Coturnix japonica: one gene and its partners. The protein of the gene in region 1 purifies or fractionates together with the protein of each later gene. This does not show direct contact. Links are inferred from orthologs where the notes say so. Each region holds a gene or a part of one and is shown in the gene's direction. Other genes may lie near its edges.

Region 1 (5,363 bases):
TTCCAAAGTTAGAATGTTTGGCCTAGATATACTGACAGCATGACTTCATTTTCATATCATCTGATCTGAGATTCAAAGCCTTTAAAGAAAAAGTGGTAGTTACTGCATAGGCTTCTACAAATGCTGTAGAGAATACTTGTATTTATGGATTCTTGCACTTCAGGTGTGTAACCCACCTATTTCTGCTGGGTTTAATAAGCACTGCTTCAAAGCCTGAATGATGGGGCATTCTGGAGATCTTATATCTGCTGCTTCATCAGCTTTTCATATCAAAGAGATTCGTTTTGCCATATTAGCAACATTTTTAATTCCTTCGAGGTTATTTGCATACGGGCTTTTGGCCTGTGTTAGCTGAGAGGATAGTTCAGAAGGCATTCGCACCGAACAATGTGAGGATACTCACATATCTGAAGGTCCCCAGCTGTATAAATATTTACAGGATTGATAATAGGAATGTTCTGCTAATAGAATGGAGGAAAGATGCGCCAGTTATCGAGAGAATAAAAGCATCTATTTGATTGTAGAGGAAATGGTAAAAACTCCTTTGAAAATCCAATTAAAGAAGCACGGGGAAAGGAACGACTGCTGAAGACTTAACTAGGGCATGGTTAGAAGGTTATCCAACAACTCGGCAGGCTTTCAGCTGTGAATATACCAACGAAACTGCTGTCCTAAGAAATGCATGCTTCCATATGCCTTTATTTATGGAAGCCTTTTAAATACATCCCATAACTGTGCAGTTTCTTATGGGCCGCGTAAGAAATCAGTAACACATTTCCTTTCTCCTCCCCCTGCTGAGGTGCAAGTGGCTGAATGTTTTCAACTATGCTTTAGCAGAACAGATACTTGGACAAACTTATCCATCTAAAAACACCCCCACTGACAGGCATTGCAGAAGCTAAACTAGAAACCATCCTGTAGAATAAAGCTTCGTGGACATGTTTACAGCCTTGGTTTTACAGATGTGGTGTGCTCAGCTTTCTTACTAGTTATTGACCCTTACTCCTCAGCCTGAGCCATGAAAAGTCACTTAATGAAGATGCTGGTACTCTGCCTTCATAGCAAATGCCTTCAGTGATTTAACACCTAGATGTGAGCTATAGTTATATATTGGTGGGTATGGCCCGCGGTGCTGGAGTTCAAGGAGCATTTGGATGCTGCTCTCAGACGTGTGGAGCCAGGAGTGGGACGCGGTGATCCCTGGGGCTGCCTTCCAACTCAGCATGTTCTGTGGAGCCCCTGCCAACAATTGAATGGGATTACAGTTGAGTACACGTAAGTAACTGTAACATGGGTGCATTACATTCTCTTAGAAGAAGAAAACAGATCCTTTTAACCCAGACTGCCCAGGGAGGTTGTGGATGCCCCGTCCTTGGAGGTGTTCAAGGCCAGGATGGATGGGGCCCTGGGCAACCTGATCTAGTAAATGTGTATGTTTGGTGGCCCTGCCAGGCAGGGGGTGATCCTTGAGGTCCCTTCCAAACCAGGTCGTTCTGTGATTAAAGGAATAAAGTATTTGTTTCCCTTCTGGGGTTAATTTCCCACTAGAAAGCCATACAGGTGTTTTACACGAGTACACCCTGCTGGAATCACGAGGGCTTTCAGTGCTGGTGCCCCCGTTTCAGAAGCCAAAGGCTGGGGCTGCCAGCACCTTTGGTGACTCTCATGGGGCACCTGTCAGCCGGGAATGTACGGCATGGGGGCACTCGGGGCAGTTTGGAGCTCTCAAGCAGAAGCCCCGAATTGATGCTGAAGCGAATCTCCTTGGCCCTGTGTGAAACGCGAGGCCACCGGGGATCTCTGCTAGTCTGCAAGTTCCCACCCCGCAGCTCGCTGTCCGCGTCCCCTCGGGCCGCAGTCTCGGGCCTGAGGCGGAGCTCGGCGACTCTATGGCTGCCGTGCCGAGGGGGAGGCGGCGGAGCGGCACCTCCATCCCGGCTGGCCGCGCTCCAGGCGATGCCGTTCAGCATTGGGGCAGCGAGTCCCGACCGGCCGCCACTCGGCCCGGCTCCCCCGGGGCTGGGATCCGCACCCCGCCCCTCCCCGCCGCCCCCAGGGGAGCACGGCGTGCGGCGCTGCCGGGCGGGGCTTAGCGCGGGGCTTAGCGCTGGGCCCGCCGGGAGCCGTGACGCGGCGCCGAGGCCCCGCCCCGTGGCAGGGTATATAAGGGGCGGCGCTCACGCCGTCGTTCTTTTCCGCTCCGGGTTTGCCGACGCCGTGCGGGTGAGGAGCGTGCGGCGGGGCGGGCCGGGCCCGGGGGTGGGGGGAGCGGGGATGCTGGGGGTGCGTGGATGTACCGTGAGCGGGGGGTTGAGGCGCCGCCGTGCAGCGGTGCGTGGGGATGGCGGAGCGGGGGGATGGCGAGATAAGGGGCGGATGGGGGAAGCGGGGCGAGCGGCGGCGTAACGCCGACGTGTCCCATCCGAGGGCTCACGCGAGGCAGCGCCGCGATGAGCACATGGGGCCGCACCGCCGCTTCGGCTTCTTGCGGAGCCGCCTGGCGCTGCTGTGCGGCGTGCGGTGCTCGGCCGTACGCGGGTGGCGGCCGGGGATGGCGGGGCCGCGCCGTCGGTGTGGGCGATGGGGGAAGGGAAGGCCGGGGCACGAGAAAAAAAATGGCCGCCCGCTCTTCCTGCCGCCGTCAGCTCACAAAATGGAGGACGGCGGCCCGGGCGGGGTGAGTCACACACAAAGGAGAGGGGCGGCCCCGCCCTCCGCGCCGCCCCGCGCCGCCGCCCCAGCACGGCCCGGCCCGGCCGCCATGCGGGGAGGGGGCGACGGAGGAGGGGGGCGAGCCGGAGGGGACACGGGCCGCCAACACCGCCCGCCTCTCCCCGCTGCTCGACTCCCCCCTCCCATCCCCCGGTGGGGCGGGGCCGAGCCTACACGGGCCCTCTGCCCCCTGCGGGCGGCGCTGCTGCGGGACGGGGGCGGCCGCTGTAACCGGGATTCCTTCTGGAACTTTCAGGTGTCGTTTCTCTTTGGCCGGAAGAAAGAAGCTAAAGACCATCCGAAATGGGAAAGGAGAAGACTCACATTAACATCGTCGTCATCGGCCACGTCGATTCCGGCAAGTCCACCACCACCGGGCACCTCATCTACAAATGTGGTGGCATCGACAAGAGGACCATCGAGAAGTTCGAGAAGGAGGCGGCCGAGGTGTGTGAGGCAGCCGTGTGGTGGGAGACTGGGGGGAATAAGGGGCAAAAGGAAGGAAACCAGAACGTTTTACTACCACAAGGAGGCGGTTGGGTCGAGATTGTCCTGGTAATTGAACTAGAGTACTCAATCTGTTATGTTAAGGTGAAGTCATCGAAGCATAGAATAAAGAGCATGAAGCTAAATCTGAACGCTTAGAATCAAAATGGGAGCTCCCATCTTCATTCTCGGCCTGGATTGAGAATTACAGAATCGTTAATGTTGGAGAAGACCTTGAAACTCCAACTATCAGCCCATCCCCACCATGGCCACTAACCATGTCCCTCAGTGCCACGTCAGCAGGTTTCTTGGACACTTCAAGGGTAGTGACTCCACCATCTCTGTGCACAGCCTGTTTCAATGCATTGCTGCTCTTATGGAGTAGGAATTACTCCTAATATCCAATCTGGACCTCCCCTGGCACAGCTTTAGACTGTTGTCTCATGTCATCTTGTAGTTTAGTTGAAAATGTAATGATCAGCCTTGTCTCAAGGTGGGAGAGTCTAAGGTACCATTATGTGAACCTGTGGAAGTATTCCAGTTTTCCTTTGTTTTGTTTTAGTGATAAAATAGCACCTCGTAAGCACATGATAAAAGGAAATGCAGTGAATGCTGGGCTGTGTGGCTGTTAAAATACCAACTGGAGCAGGGATGGCATTAGTAACTAAGCTAAAATTTGTAGTGGACACTTGATAGTAGGACTAAGCCTTAAGAGATCCATCATAAAGATGTGTTAGCACAATTAACAAGTTGTCAAGAGGGCTGAAGTGTCAGCAGGTTAAATGACAGAGCAGTTGGCATATCTTGGTAGTAGTGCCAAGTGAACCTAGGCCAGAGTTTTATGAGCAACAGCAGCTTTCAGTGTAAGTCACTCCCTATTAATAACTTTGCTCGTTAGTGTGTATTTCATGGTCTTGGTGAGGTAAATGAAAATATATATCTTGAGGGGTTTTTTTTTCCTGTTTCAAACCCATAGATGGGCAAAGGTTCCTTCAAATACGCCTGGGTCTTGGACAAGCTCAAGGCTGAGCGTGAGCGTGGTATCACTATTGATATTTCCCTGTGGAAATTTGAAACAAGCAAGTACTACGTCACCATCATCGACGCTCCTGGACACAGAGACTTCATTAAGAACATGATCACTGGAACTTCTCAGGTAAGGAAATAAAGGATGTGGGGAGTTGAGGGAAGCTGCTCCTTGGCTGGTTTACAGCAGGGAAATTGCCCATGTGCTTTAGTGTGCGTGTAGGCTTTCTAACAAGGGCTTTTTTCTACCTTTTCAAAGGCTGATTGTGCTGTCCTGATTGTTGCTGCTGGTGTTGGTGAGTTCGAGGCCGGTATTTCCAAGAACGGGCAGACCCGCGAGCACGCTCTTCTGGCCTACACCCTGGGTGTGAAACAGCTGATCGTTGGTGTTAACAAGATGGATTCCACTGAGCCCGCTTACAGCCAGAAGAGATACGAAGAGATCGTCAAGGAAGTCAGCACTTACATCAAGAAAATTGGCTACAACCCAGACACTGTAGCTTTTGTGCCAATCTCTGGTTGGAACGGGGACAACATGCTGGAGCCCAGCTCTAACGTAGGTTTCCCTGTTTTCCTTTTTAATATTAGGAAATGGAACTAGCAGGATCATTAAGATAAGTTAAACAATAGTTAAATACGTGGGTTTGGGTTTTTTCAGTAGTAGTATTTTGAAATGTTGGGGTCAGTGTGAAATCCTAGTGCTTTATGAATTGTTATTCTGCAGTAATGAAGATGATGCAAGGAGTTAGGCCAGTTGTTTCATAGCTTCGTTCTATTAACATGGGCAGATGACTGACGGTTGGGGGCTGTTTTGTTACAGATGCCCTGGTTCAAGGGATGGAAGGTTACCCGCAAAGACGGCAATGCCAGTGGAACCACCCTCCTGGAAGCCTTGGACTGCATCCTGCCTCCAACTCGTCCAACTGACAAACCTCTGCGTCTGCCTCTTCAAGATGTCTACAAAATTGGTGGTATGTGTTCACCACAGTGCTTGTGTATGGGACAGAATTGCTAGTGTTTGCTTGGGAACTTGAGTGTGAAACTCCTGCCTGAAATGTTTTTCTCTGTAAGCATATACTGGACTTAACTGGCTTTCTGTGTTCACTTCTGTAGGCATTGGTACTGTACCAGTTGGCCGT
Region 2 (4,169 bases), on another chromosome or scaffold:
CGCCCCGCCCGCCGCCGGTTCCGCGCTGTGAGGGGCGGCAGCTGAGCCCTCATCCCGCTCCCGCCCGGCCCGGTCTCTCCGAGCCGCCTCCGCCGCCGCCGTTCACTCACTTTGGCCTCCACCAGCTCCGCCGCCATCTTGGCCTCCAGCGTCCACCGCGCCGGGAGCCGCCGCCGGGTCACGTGACGCCTAGCGGCGAGGGGAGGGGCGCGCGGGAGACGCGTCGACCAATCAATTTCGAGTTCCTCACCTCGGAGGCCGCCGCCGCAACGCGCAGGCGCAATAGAGCCACCCCGCCCCGCTCCGCCTTCCGGGGGTCTTAAAGGGACCGCGCCCCTAAAACGGGACGGAGAGGATGGAGGATGCGGGGATGGAGGGAGGACAGCAGAGCTAATGACAGCTCTCCTGCTTTCTTTTCTTTACCTGTGGGCTGCCTTACATGGGTACGGGGAGAGGGAAGGGGACGGGTTAGGACTGAGGGTCATTATATGCCTATATGTGCTTATAGTCCCAGCTTCTGAGCATGGTGATATTTGTAATGTATTTAGCCTATGGGAGCCGGTGATGGGGATACCTGCCTGGCTGCCTTTCAGCCTAATTGACATCACAGACAGTGTGCTCGGACTGGCTTACCAGTGTCCTGAGTTCCTTACGTATGGCTGGGGTGTCAGGTTGGGTGCTGTGTTGTCAGTCTCTCTGAATACAATCCTAATAACAATAATAATGGGGTCCTAATCCTAATAATAACAATAACACAATGGGGCCAGCAGCGTGTCCCTAAGTTGCAGTGAGGCTCATCAACTAGAAAACATCACTCAAAACCCATCTATTGATAGAGGGATCAGAGGGCTCTATAGATAGAGGAATCTATTGATGTCTCAATAGAAGACCTCCAGTTTTCGAGCTGATATTTGCGCTCCATAACACAGACATCACACTACTTCCATCCCGTGCCTCCATTGCAGCCCCCTGCCCACCCCCGCTCCTCCCGGCCTGCAGGGGGCGCTAGTGAGCTCCATGCCCTCCGCAGTTCCGGCCGGTGCATGCGCACCTAGTCCATAGACGCCGCTATGGGCGGTGCTCGCCCAGCCCGGCCCGGTGCCGCTTTGGACGGCCCAGCGCTCCGGGTAAAGGCGGAGCCGCTCTCGAGGCCTTGAGCAGCGCCCCGGGCACGTTGTCCGGGTTGTACCCGCTGTGACCGCGTTGTTTCCGCTGCGGGTTCTGAGCGGGGACCGCGTGGATCCTGACTGCGGCCCTCGGAGGACCTGACCGCCCGACCATAGAGCTGCCGGCAGCGGGGGGTGCTAGATAGTCGCATCTGCGCACGCGCACGCGTAGGCTCCTCCTTCCGGCCGGCGCCGCCCTATAAAAGGGGGGCGGTTGACGTCAGCGTTCTCTTCCGCCCGCTCTGCGCTCGCCAGCGAGACAGGGCCGCCGCCACCGCCGCCATTGCTGTAACCCCCCGCCCCGGAGAATCCGCCTCCATCCGCCACCATGGTGAGGCCCCGCGTCCCGCCGCCGTTCGGATGGAGCTCAGCGGGTCCCGTGTGGGCTGTGCGGGTGGGGATGTCCGCTCCGGGAGGGCCGGGAGGGTCCCGCTGCGGGGCGAGGCCTAGCGCTGCGTCCCGGGCCGCTGTGAGGGGACACGGGTGGGGCCGGGGCCTGGTGGGGCGCCGTTAACCCGGCGCTCCGTGTATCCCGTAGGGCTTTAATTCCCGGTGCTGTGATGGGGGCCGGGCAGCTCCCGGAGCGATTACGTAACGCTGCGGCTCCTCGGTTTCCCCCTTTAATTAATGAGGGGTGAGGATGGAGGGGGGGCTGCGGTGCATTGAGCGCTGTCAGTGCGGGGGGGTTTGAGGACACATCGCTGGCTGCTGCAGTGCCGGCCCGGCGCTCTGCAGTGCCCTCAGTGCTTCATTCCTTGAGGTTAAACCTGACAGCGCCACGTAGGAAGAAATGGAGCTTTGCTGTTACGTAGCTCGTCTCCCATTCCTCCCTTCTTCCTTTCTTTCCAAGGTGAACTTCACGGTAGATCAGATACGGGCCATCATGGACAAAAAGGCCAACATCAGGAATATGTCAGTGATCGCACACGTCGATCACGGCAAGTCGACCCTGACTGATTCCCTGGTGTGTAAAGCTGGGATCATCGCCTCTGCCCGCGCGGGGGAGACCCGCTTCACTGACACCAGGAAGGACGAGCAGGAACGGTGCATCACCATCAAATCGACGTGAGTGCTGCTCCTTCGGGTGCCCCCCTGTTCCCATCGCACGGACTGACCCTGGGGGTGCTTTGAATCCTACCCTGGTTTCACCTTGAGATGAAGATGATCCCATCAGCCTTTCTCTTGTCTTGTTGTTCAGAGGTTTAGGTTTATTTTTCTTCCCTGCGTGGATTGCTTAAACAAAGGGGCAAGTATTGATTGCCCTGTGGTGAGTCACTGAGCGTTACCTTGATGGCTGCTGGGAGATTGACGTGCTCCTGCAGTGTGACTTTGGCCTCCTGTTTCTGGCACCAGCTGTGTGTAATGGCGCTGGTGGCTGTGAGGTTTGTCTGGTGAGCAGCTGACCTCCTTGGGAGTGTCACTGCCTGCAGGTCCAGCTGCCTCACCATGGACTGATGCTGAGGAGGTGGGAGGGACCAGAAGGGATTTAGGCTGGTGGGAAAAGCAGCTGAGAGGAGGTGCGCTCTATTTGGCAGCTCACGATATCAGGGGGTTATGATTTCAGGGAAGCATAAAAAGCAGAGGTTTTTGTGGATGCTCCTGAGCATCTTCCCCACTCGCCTCTCATGATCATTTCTTCCTGTTATGGGAGGTTTAGGTTGGATCTTAGGAGGATGTTTTTCACCCAGTGGGGGGTGATGCACTGGAACAGGTTGCCCGAGGAGGCTGTGGATGCCCCATCCCTGCAGGCATTCAGGGCCAGGCTGGATGTGGCTGTGGGCAGCCTGGGACCCTACACACAGCAGAGGGTTGGAACTGGATGAGCATTGGGGTCCTTTTCAACCCAGGCCATTCAGTGGTTCATGAAACCCTGGAAGCTGGATGCAGCTGTCTGAAAATAAATAGTAAAGGATACAAGAATGTTTCTAACTGCTTTTGCTTCAGAGTGTTGCAGAGGGGCAATGGGGTGATACTAACAGCTCTTTTTCCCTTTCAGAGCTATTTCTCTGTTCTATGAGCTCTCTGACAACGATCTGGCATTCATCAAGCAGAGCAAGGATGGTTCTGGTTTCTTGATCAACCTGATTGACTCTCCTGGGCACGTGGATTTCTCCTCGGAGGTCACTGCTGCTCTGCGTGTCACTGATGGTGCCCTGGTTGTTGTCGACTGCGTCTCTGGTGAGGTTTTTGCAGCCATGTGTGACTGCAACCTGAGTTGGGTTGATCTGAAGGTGAGGAGAACTAATTGTCCTGTGTTGGGCAGGTGTGTGTGTGCAGACAGAGACTGTGCTGCGTCAGGCCATCGCTGAGAGGATCAAACCTGTCCTGATGATGAACAAGATGGACCGGGCACTGCTGGAGCTGCAGCTGGATCCTGAGGAGCTGTACCAGACCTTCCAGAGGATTGTGGAGAACGTGAACGTCATCATCTCCACGTATGGGGAAGGAGAAAGCGGTCCAATGGGAAACATCATGGTGAGTGAATGGCTGTGGGTGCCCCTTCAGCAGGAGGGAGCAACTGTGTTTGGTAGCAGTGCTTTCCTCCCTCCAGGGGAGGAGTGAGGCTGGAGAAGTGGAGGCACCCATGCAATGAAGAATAGAAACACAAGTGTGCATTCTGTCTAGGAAGGGGTCCTCCTCTTGAAAGGTCTTTCCTTGCTCACCTGACACGGGGCACAGGCCCTGCACTGCATGAGGCTGGATGGCACTTGGGGATGTTGATCCCTTCACTCCCTGCTGGACTCTGAGCTGAGTGCAAGGCCTGTTCAGCTGCAGGTCCTGAGGAAACCTTTGTGCTTTGTTGCTGTTGAGAAACAAACGAATCGTAGATTTTTCTACTGGTGTTTCCATTAAGGATTACAGTCTGACAGGTCTAAGCAGATGTTGAGCCAGTCAGTCCCTCTGGGCAGGTGCTGTCACAGAAGTGCTCAGTGCTTCTGTAGCTCTGAAGCCCCACCTTCAGGCTCTTGGTGGAGGCTTGCAGTGTGTTTGGTTTGCCTGGGC
Region 3 (4,009 bases), on another chromosome or scaffold:
CCAGCAGACTGACCTAAGGAGGCCGATCAGTAGTTGGTGAGTTAAGAGAGGAAAGGCTCTTGCATGCAGGTCCCTCCACAGTTACTGGCCTGAAACTGTTCAGGACTGTAGCAGTTGCAGTATTCCCTCTGTGGAAGACAAACTGTTACGTAGTATTAAGCACCTTCTCAGATCCTCTAAGAAGGACTTTCTACGTAACAAACAATGTTAGCTTATGTTCTCTTTTCAAAGTGTTTTTCAAAAACAGGCATCTACATCTTAAACATCAGGATATATATTTTCAGACCCCTTAAAAATGCATGTTGGTACAAGAGGACTGAGTTATGAGGGGTTTTTTTGTTTTTTTTTTTTTTAAGTCGTGTGAAGTTATTTGTAAGTATATTCTTGAGTTCCTGAAAGTTTCCTAGCTGTTAATGGTGTCTTTCCTCCTTTTTTTTCCCTTAGAACCAGCTGTTGTTGCCAAATCATCGATCTTGCTTGATGTGAAACCTTGGGATGATGAGACAGACATGGCCAAATTAGAGGAGTGTGTTCGAAGCATTCAAGCAGATGGCTTGGTCTGGGGGTCTTGTAAGTAAAATTCTAAGTGGGGAAAAGGGTGATCACGTGATCTGTTGGGGTGCTGTATGAATAAGTAGCCTTAGGATTACTGTTTGTCCATCTGTGATAATGTAGGTAGCTAAAATAGTGAGTTAACTGCCATGTTACATAGAGTATGTATAGTGTGAGCTGTGCGTGTGTGGTGTTTGGTGGACTAGCACCCACTAAATAGCAAACTGATAGGTGTTCTTTGCATAATTTCACAAGAGTGATGATTTAAAAAGGGCTTAGTCAGAAAGCTGCTAGGGCAGCAGCAAGGCTAAGATTCAAAGAAACACCTTTTAGGCCAACTCCATTAATGCTATCAGCTGCTTACATCTTTCCATTTTCAAGTGAGGAGTGTGTAATGCTTTTTTGTTTTGTTTTGCAGCCAAGCTAGTACCAGTTGGTTACGGTATCAAAAAGCTTCAGATTCAGTGTGTTGTTGAAGATGATAAAGTTGGAACAGACATGTTGGAAGAAAGAATAACAGCTTTTGAAGATTACGTACAATCAATGGATGTAGCTGCTTTCAACAAGATCTGAGTCTTCATATATTTAGAATAAAAATAATTGCAAAAATTGGGCCATGTCTGTCATTAATTCAAAGTCATAGTGCAATCCAGTTTGTTAATGTAAAATTTGACTGATGGGTAAAGTAAAAGCTAATCAATTGGCTTTTAGGATTGTTCCAGCGCTGTGGTATTTAGTGCCAGAGCAAAGAGAGAGCTGACAGTTGCCATATGTCTAGGCTTAACATTTACATGGCTTTAAATATCTGAAATGCCTTTTCCTCTATTTTAAGTGGAGTTGCATCTTTGGCTACTTGTAATTAATCTGGCAGGAGAGGTGGCTTTCAGGGAGAAGCACAGGGCTGTAGCACTTTAAGAGAAATAGAAGTTTTGTATAGAAAGGATGATGAGTAACCAAATAGTTGTATGGTGGCTTTATTCTTCTGACAGCTGCAGTTCAACTGTCACTTAGGAATGAAGACAAAGATAAGGCAGTTTATAGCAATGAGGACTGCAGAGCATTGGAGATTGTGAAGTGTACTTAATGTGACTGAGACTGCCAGGGTAACTTCTCACCATCTCCTATTGTGTGAACCTGAGATTTTTTTTCTCCTAAAGTGTTTAAAAAATAGAAATAACCTCAAGTTTGGCTTTTTTTGTGTGTGTGTGGGGGGGAGAGGAGGGACGTGTCTTACTCAGTACTGCATAATTCCTGCTTCAAGACCAAGGCCTTGGTGTGCCTTGAACTGCAGGCCAGCATTGGTTTTTAACCTTGAGTAGCAGGATCGAGATCCTTGAGGTGCAATTAAGGTACAGTTCACTAGAGGGCGGTGTGTTCCTTCAAGAAGACCGAGGCATTGGAGGTCTAACGGTGCCATGTGCTTGAGTGAGGTTTAATGGGGCGCAGTGGCTACAGTTAATGCAGGCGGATAGTACTTTGTTACTCTGTTAAAATACAGCTTGCTACAGTGTCACCGTGTATCTTAGAGTGTATGTAACCTGTAACAAGACCAATAGTAGGTTTGAGATCTTAAATATAGTCTTCCCATGCTCCTACATGACTATAAAGATCTCAAACCTACTATTGATCTTGTTGTGCCTCTTTTTGAGAAGGGCTGCCAGTTGCCACTCTATTGTTAAAGCAACAGGGTTTTAAGGAGACTGTCAGAAACACTTGAGTGCAATCTGAACAAGAACAAGCATTATGAAGCAGGGAAGAACAGAATCTGCTGCAGTTGAATTTTGTTGGTTTTTTTCTCAGCAGTATCTCATAGGAAAATCAGAGTGCCTTTTTTTCATCGTAGAGCTTTGAATGAGCATTCTTCTGTCCAAGCAGTGTAGGAGAGTAATTGGGCTTTTTCAGTTATTCTATGGAAATGGAAACCAAGGATGCTGTCTGTTCTGATTAGGTATCTTCATTCCACTTGCAGAAATGAGTTGGATGGTGGCAACTATGTTGCTGATGTTGGTATGAAGGAGGTAGCAATCACCTTACAAAGTTGGTAGGCCATTTTTTTCCACAGACCAGGACTGATGTTGGCCAGATTCTTTATTATCTAGGGGAGGCTTTTGGTTAAGGTGGTGGTTAAATGTTGGCAGTGTTTTGTTGCTTTTTTTAATCCAGAGGGGTAATCCAAGCAAAGCTTTGTAGAGCATTTTCTGACGATGTACACAAGACAAAGCAAATGTAAAATCTTCTTCTTTGAAAATAAAGCTCGTTACTGTGTGTATTTGTCCTCATATACCTAATGTGCATGAAGAAAACTGAATAAACTTTAATTCCTGTGACACAAAGGTCAGGGTTTTCTTTCATCTTTCAGGAACGTCAGTATGGTGCTGTTCTGTGAACAGTCACAGCTTAGTTGCTGCTGAGAAAAGTAAATGAATGTGTTCTTCAGGGCTAATAGAAATTTATTACTCCACTTGGAGCACAGTCAGGAAAGGAAGCATTAAAACACATCATTCTTAGAAAGATGTCAAGGAACATTTTTTTTATATATATAGTGGGCTGGAGTGAAATATACTTATACTATAAGGAACCTCCCCCTCCCTTCCAAATAGTTTAAAGATATACACTGCTACAAATTATTTCAGAGTTATTTGTCCATGAAGTAACTAGGGTAAGTGTATGTTATTCCAATCCATTATGCATCTTAACTTTATAGTAGGCTTGACCTTTTGTTTTTATGACACAAGGTGACTATTTGTGTTCACCCCTTCTGAAAGCTGCCAGGACTCCTGCACCAGTGCCAACCCACAAGGCTGACCCCTGTGGATGCACCACTTGTATACGTGTAACTCTTTTCCCTCAACTAACAGGTAGGTCTTGGCAGATTGTGTTACATTCTGAAATGAACATTCTTAAATGAACATACATAGCGCAGCCTCACACAGTCTGTGCCCAATAACGTGTTACCTTTACAGAAACAAGAGTCTGGAAGCAGTTAAAAGCACTGTTTGTAATTCATCTGTAGCTGTCAGGAAACTTTGCTTTCTAGACAGAGAGGAGATGGGTAACTTGAGGCAAGCATGGCTTCTCTTTTCTTTGACCTGCCAGAAACTGTGACCAGTGCATTAAGCTGTTAATTATGAAGTTGCACTTCTAACAGTCAAGGGGAGGACTGGAAAGAAAATCCTTGAGAGGCAATAGCATTTGCAGACAGCTTTAAGGGGCTGCATGAGTAGGAAATATTGGCTTTGTTTTTTTGTTTCCAACAGAGTCACAATCAGGCATCAGTAACCGGAGTCCTTTGTTTGCACTTCAGAAGTGTCACTATGTGCTTTAGCCCATGGCCTGTAAGTTTGCGTAGTTAGCGTAAGTGCTCTTGTGTGTTATGCATGCTCCTTACAGAGGTAGTGGTACACAATTATGTAAGCTATGTTAGGCAGAACATTGCTGTTCCCAGGCTACCTTGGTT
Region 4 (5,501 bases), on another chromosome or scaffold:
AGCTGCGGGCCATCGGTGTCCTTGGTGTGGATGCAAGGTCACAGGCAGAGGGCTTTCACAGGCACCATTTCACGTCCTGCCCGAGCCTGAGGGACGAAGAGTGGGACAGTGGGTCGGGATATAAGAGCACAGACATTACACCCTCGCCCATCTCCATTTATCCCTCTCTCAGGTGCTCCTTTCCCGCCTGCTGCCCTCGGATTCCGAATCCCTGCCGGCTGATGAGGACATGAAGGAGGGCTCCAGCTCCAGCTCCGAGCCGCAGCCGCTCCTCCTGCCTCGGGCCCGAGCCGCACAGCCCCTGCTGTGGCGCAAGGCCCTCGCCGATCGCAAGCGAGCTCTGTCTGGAGACTGGGCCTGGAAGGCCGCGCCCCGGGGCTGTTTTGGGCTGAAAATGGACCGCATCGGGGCCTTCAGCGGGTTGGGCTGTTAGCCCGGAGAAGCTGGAGGTGAAGGGGGCAGCAGCGAGGGGCCGGCACAGCGGGCAGCGGCTCGCTCGTTGGCAGGCAGAGAGCGGCCGTGTGGAGAGCCGGCCCGGGACGAGACCCAGCTCGGGACGGGACAGGCTGGGGCAGCAGCGGCCGCAGCCCCGCGGGCAGGGCGAGGAGCGGCGGCGCGCGGGGGACTCGCGAATTAAACCGAGCTGTGCGGAGCCTCGTGTCGGAGCTGGCGGCACCGAAGGGCGGCCGGGCCGCGATACCCTCCCCGTGCCTCTCCCCGCCCGCGTCCGCCGGGAGATGGCGGCAGAGCCCGCGGCTCCGCACGGCAACGCGGCCCCCACGCGCGGGGCCATTTTGGGCGCCGCCGCCATTCCGGGTGGGCCGGGCCGCACGCGCGTCCGCGGCCTGGGCCCGAGCCCGGCGCTGGGGGGAGGATGGGCGGCGGGTCCATCGATCTGCGCCCCGGGGCCGCAGCGTTGTTCCGTCCCGCCACACTCTGCCCCTCGGCCGCTGCCGTGTTTGCCGAGCAAACAAGGGGCCTCCGCTCTCCCTGCCGGCCCTGACCCCGCGACGTGCGGGGGGCTCCCCCGGCCCCGCGATCGCAGCCCCCTTCGGGCCGCACCGCCGCCTCCCCTGGCCTTTAAGAAAAGGTCGTAACCTCAAGCCGGGGCTAAACTTAGCCGCTGCCCCTCGGTGCTCCGGGAATGGCAGCCGTACAAGGAGCGTTGGGTTACGGGAGCTGCGTGACCCCCCGCTCGGACCCTCTCCCCCCGGCATCCTCCGTCCCCACCGCTGGAGCCGGGGCCCACCTCACCCCTGCACGCCCCCTCCTCCCGCCGGGCATCCGGCTTCGAGCACCCGCTCCATCGCAGGGGATGGAGGCTATAAACCCAGCACGGCTCCATCCCACGGCCCCTCTTTGGGCCGCACGAGCCCCAGCCGTAACACGTAAGAACCGCTTCTTGCCCACACCCCGGGCCCGGCTGCCAGGCGCAGACGTGCCGGGCTGGGAGAGGGACGGCGGCGGCTCGAGGCGGCGGGAGGATATGAGGATATCCGCTGTCACGGCGCAAGAGATGCTGCAGTTCCTTATTAGCGCGGCCTGAGAGCGCCGGTGTGACAGCGGGTGCGGGACCCCGGCAGCCCGGGGCTGCGTGACCAACACGTGCGAGGGCTGATTATGGCAGCGGGCAGGCTGCGGGCTCGCAGCACGGCGCTCTCTCGGCCGTGCGTGCTGCCATTAATGCAGCCCGCACCCGCCGCACCGCATCGTGCTGCAGCCGCACCCCGCAGCCTCACCCGAGGACACCGACGCGGGGCTTTGTCTGCACCCCCCATCCGAAGGGCACCCCCACTCCGTACAAGCCCCGCAGTGCGGCCCCAACCCCCCGAGCCCACCCTCGACCCAACGGCCGCCCTTTGTTGCGAGGGGGGAGGGGGAGAGAAGCGGGGGGGGGGCTGCCGCTTCACCCGCACCGTGCGTGCACGTAGCCCCGGCCCGGCCCTCGCGCTGCCATTCGGTGCCGGCCCGGCGGGGCGGGGCGCGGGGTGCTGCCGCCGTGTCTATAAAGGGCGGCGGAGCGGCACTGCGCCACCTTCTCACTGCGCGCCGGGGCCGTTGACTAGGAGCAGGTAACGGGCGGGGGGCACGGGGGCGGAGGAACGGCTCCCCCCACCCCTACCCACCCACCCACCCAGCCGGCCGCCCTCCCGTCTGCTTGAGCCCCTCGTAGGGTCGGGGCCGTCGGACCGCGAGGAGTGCGGCGGGGGGAGGGGGCTGTGCAGGACCGCGTGGTGCCCGGGGCACAAAGGCGGGGGCGGGCGGCGTAAGATGGAGGCGGTGGGGGTGGGGGGAGAGGTGCGGGGGGCACAGCTCGGTGGGGATGGAGGGAGGGAGGGATGGCGGGTGGGGGGGCGGCTCCCGGTGCGTGCGGTGGGGGGGTGTTATGGGGCGGGCGGGCTGCGTGCGGTACCGCACGTCTGAGCGTTGGCGTGTCCCCGCAGGTACACTATAAGGGAGAGATGGTGAAAGTCGGAGTCAACGGGTGAGTGAGTGCGGAGCCGGGACGGGAGGCGCCGGGCGGGGCGGGCGGGGATGTACGTGCCCGTGGGGGGGGGGAGGACGACACGAGACAAGGTCGCCTGAAGGGCGGGGGGCCCCGCGGCGCCGCGGAGAGACCCCCCCATCCTCCAACCCCCAACCGGGAGTAACGGCCCCGTGGGGCGGTGCTGAGTCACTTCCCCGCACGGTCGGGGTGAGTCACCCCGGAAGCGCCGGTGCTGCCCGCGTGCCCCGTCGGGGGCTCTGCCCGCACTAATGGGGCTCCCCGGGGCAGTGGGTACCCGAGGAAAGGTCGCCCGGTGGATCGTGTGTCGGCCGTGCCCCGGGAACGTGACCTTCTCCCACCGCACCGAGGAGTAACCGGATCCCCGGGGCCCTCAGTAAATTTAGCGCCTGACCTTTGTGGTGTGGGTGCCCTGCCCGGGGGTCGCTCTTAATCTTTAACCACGGCTCCTCGGCCTTTGGCCGCTGCTGTTGGATTCCATTCAGGCAGCGACTGACAGATGCTCTGGGGGGAAGTAGCAGATAGGCTCAGCCGTGCCTTACCAAGCATGTTCCTCAGTGCTCCTCCTCACCCACCTCTCTGTTTCTCCCCAGATTTGGCCGTATTGGCCGCCTGGTCACCAGGGCTGCTGTCCTTTCTGGCAAAGTCCAAGTGGTTGCTATCAATGATCCCTTCATCGATCTGAACTACATGGTGAGTTGTCTTGCAGTGCCCCCTCTGGGCGATGCGTGCACCTTCAGCGGGGCTCCCCTTGGAAACCTGGCATAGGTTAAGAGAGAAATGAGATGTAGTGATGCAAAGCTGGGCAGAGCAAAATACAGAGCAGCAGTTAGACAAGATGGCTGGTATTGTAGTGGGAGCTTTGCATCTAGGATGCCTGACCCTTCTCTTTTCTCTCCCTGCTAGGTTTACATGTTCAAATATGATTCTACACACGGACACTTCAAGGGCACTGTCAAGGCTGAGAACGGGAAACTTGTGATCAATGGGAACGCCATCACTATCTTCCAGGAGTGAGTAGCTTTCTTCTCTCGCTGCTCCAGAGAATGAAAGTAAGTGCCCTCCAGAGTAACTCCCATGGTTTTGTCCCCTCTCAGGCGTGACCCCAGCAACATCAAGTGGGGAGATGCTGGTGCTGAGTATGTTGTGGAGTCCACTGGTGTCTTCACCACCATGGAGAAGGCTGGGGTATGTAGGCTGCTGTGGCCCATGGGAAAAGGTGCTCTGAGGATTGTATTCCTTCTCAACTGTTGGGCCGTTCTGGGTAATTTAATCTTTCCTTTTTTGTTTTTCAGGCTCATCTGAAGGGTGGTGCTAAGCGTGTTATTATCTCAGCCCCCTCAGCTGATGCTCCCATGTTCGTGATGGGTGTCAACCATGAGAAATATGATAAGTCCCTGAAAATTGTTAGGTAAGGGAGAAGAATGCTCCCTGGCCTGGAATTTTCTTCGGGTCTTGTTGCACGTATATACATGTGTTGTACTTGGCTGATGTGCCTTCTTTCTCCCCCAGCAATGCTTCATGCACCACCAACTGTCTGGCACCATTGGCCAAGGTCATCCATGACAACTTTGGCATTGTGGAGGGTCTTATGGTAGGTCTGGAGCTTGATGCTCAGTAAGATACCCTGCCCCCAGGTCCTCCATGTGTGGGGGAAAAAAGCATTCACACACAGTGCTTCCATTGGGCTTGGGAGGAAGTGCTGGGGGTGCTTTCTCTGGGGAAAGTGACTGCTTTCTTACTTCTGGGCCTTCTTTCCACAGACCACTGTGCACGCCATCACAGCCACACAGAAGACTGTGGACGGCCCCTCTGGGAAGTTGTGGAGGGATGGCAGAGGTGCTGCCCAGAACATCATCCCAGCATCCACTGGGGCTGCTAAGGCTGTGGGGAAGGTCATCCCTGAGCTCAATGGGTGAGCGTCCTCTTTCTGTGTCTGATGGGGGGCAGGAGCCAGTGTGTGGCTGGCTCAAACACTTTTGTGGTAGAACATGCTTACACTGTTCTTTGCTGACATATCTCTTGCAGGAAGCTTACTGGAATGGCTTTCCGTGTGCCAACCCCCAATGTCTCTGTTGTTGACCTGACCTGCCGTCTGGAGAAACCAGTAAGTGCTGTGGACAAGACTGAAGAATCTTCAGGCCTGCCTCTAAAATTACTTCCTTCAACATCAATCTATTTAATAGAAAAATCTTGGTTTTGCTGAAAATAGCACCTAATGTGCATGGCTAGTGCTATGCAGTTCCCAGTGTCTGGGCTGTAGCTGACACTTAGAGATGAGATTTGACCTGACCATCTTTACTTCTGCCTTTTTTTAGGCCAAATATGATGACATCAAGAGGGTAGTGAAGGCTGCTGCTGAGGGGCCCTTGAAGGGCATCCTAGGATACACAGAGGACCAGGTAAATAGTTGCTACGTAGGTGTCACTTGCCTCATTGTTCTGATGGTGGCAGCCTTGCTGGGGTGATGTTTTTGACGCTTCTGGTTCAGGCTGTTACCATCTTATTGGGTGGAAGAGTGCTTGACGGTTCTTCCTCTGTTCCAGGTTGTCTCCTGTGACTTCAATGGTGACAGCCATTCTTCCACCTTTGATGCGGGTGCTGGCATTGCACTGAATGACAACTTCGTCAAGCTTGTTTCCTGGTATGCTCAGCCTCGGGGTGTGGGGGAGACTGGGAGGGTAGAGACGAGCAGTTCTGGTGCAGTTCTGTGCTGTTTCATTTTGTCAGCACCATCTGGCAGTGCATGGCAGCACAGGGTTCAGGTGGCTTCAGCATGTGACGGTCTCTAGTGAGATGGCTTCGTATCTGAAATGGCTGCAGCTGCCTTCCTGTAATGGAGGGCAGATGGGATGCTGCCTGTTTGCTTCATAAGGATTGGATGGGAAGCCTTGCCACTTGGTTATATGGGCTGAGGCTGGAAGAGCAGTAACATGAAGAGGGATACGAGGAGCTGGATCAGTGCTGACTGCACTTGTGTTTCCCTTCTCAGGTA

Evidence for each region.
Region 2: the proteins of EEF1A1 (region 1) and EEF2 fractionate together in Homo sapiens (co-fractionation; 3 studies listed by BioGRID). This does not show direct contact. The link is inferred for Coturnix japonica from reciprocal best matches to the Homo sapiens genes EEF1A1 and EEF2.
Region 3: the proteins of EEF1A1 (region 1) and EEF1B2 purify together in Homo sapiens (affinity purification with mass spectrometry; 3 studies listed by BioGRID and IntAct, counting the BioPlex papers as one, with this or other methods). This does not show direct contact. The link is inferred for Coturnix japonica from reciprocal best matches to the Homo sapiens genes EEF1A1 and EEF1B2.
Region 4: the proteins of EEF1A1 (region 1) and GAPDH fractionate together in Homo sapiens (co-fractionation; 3 studies listed by BioGRID). This does not show direct contact. The link is inferred for Coturnix japonica from reciprocal best matches to the Homo sapiens genes EEF1A1 and GAPDH.

Annotation. Positions count from the first base shown.
Region 1 is NC_029518.1:74,352,002-74,357,364, forward strand, and holds the start of EEF1A1 (elongation factor 1-alpha 1), read left to right. Parts: upstream 1-2,094; 5' UTR 2,095-2,223; intron 2,224-2,968; 5' UTR 2,969-3,015; coding exon 3,016-3,159; intron 3,160-4,174; coding exon 4,175-4,354; intron 4,355-4,483; coding exon 4,484-4,780; intron 4,781-5,044; coding exon 5,045-5,195; intron 5,196-5,337; coding exon 5,338-5,363. UniProt on the Homo sapiens protein: Translation elongation factor that catalyzes the GTP-dependent binding of aminoacyl-tRNA (aa-tRNA) to the A-site of ribosomes during the elongation phase of protein synthesis.
Region 2 is NC_029543.1:792,097-796,265, forward strand, and holds the start of EEF2 (elongation factor 2), read left to right. Parts: upstream 1-1,369; 5' UTR 1,370-1,494; coding exon 1,495-1,497; intron 1,498-2,016; coding exon 2,017-2,231; intron 2,232-3,162; coding exon 3,163-3,344; intron 3,345-3,429; coding exon 3,430-3,641; intron 3,642-4,169. Other genes in the region: E3 SUMO-protein ligase PIAS4, read right to left, coding at 111-137. UniProt on the Homo sapiens protein: Catalyzes the GTP-dependent ribosomal translocation step during translation elongation.
Region 3 is NC_029522.1:11,932,127-11,936,135, forward strand, and holds the end of EEF1B2 (elongation factor 1-beta), read left to right. Parts: intron 1-73; exon of another isoform or gene 74-207; intron 208-444; coding exon 445-570; intron 571-970; coding exon 971-1,125; 3' UTR 1,126-2,817; downstream 2,818-4,009. UniProt on the Homo sapiens protein: Catalytic subunit of the guanine nucleotide exchange factor (GEF) (eEF1B subcomplex) of the eukaryotic elongation factor 1 complex (eEF1).
Region 4 is NC_029516.1:69,303,364-69,308,864, forward strand, and holds the start of GAPDH (glyceraldehyde-3-phosphate dehydrogenase), read left to right. Parts: upstream 1-1,948; 5' UTR 1,949-2,072; intron 2,073-2,444; 5' UTR 2,445-2,462; coding exon 2,463-2,485; intron 2,486-3,099; coding exon 3,100-3,199; intron 3,200-3,412; coding exon 3,413-3,519; intron 3,520-3,603; coding exon 3,604-3,694; intron 3,695-3,801; coding exon 3,802-3,917; intron 3,918-4,018; coding exon 4,019-4,100; intron 4,101-4,269; coding exon 4,270-4,421; intron 4,422-4,534; coding exon 4,535-4,613; intron 4,614-4,824; coding exon 4,825-4,908; intron 4,909-5,052; coding exon 5,053-5,150; intron 5,151-5,498; coding exon 5,499-5,501. Other genes in the region: C-type natriuretic peptide 2-like, read left to right, coding at 173-433. UniProt on the Homo sapiens protein: Has both glyceraldehyde-3-phosphate dehydrogenase and nitrosylase activities, thereby playing a role in glycolysis and nuclear functions, respectively.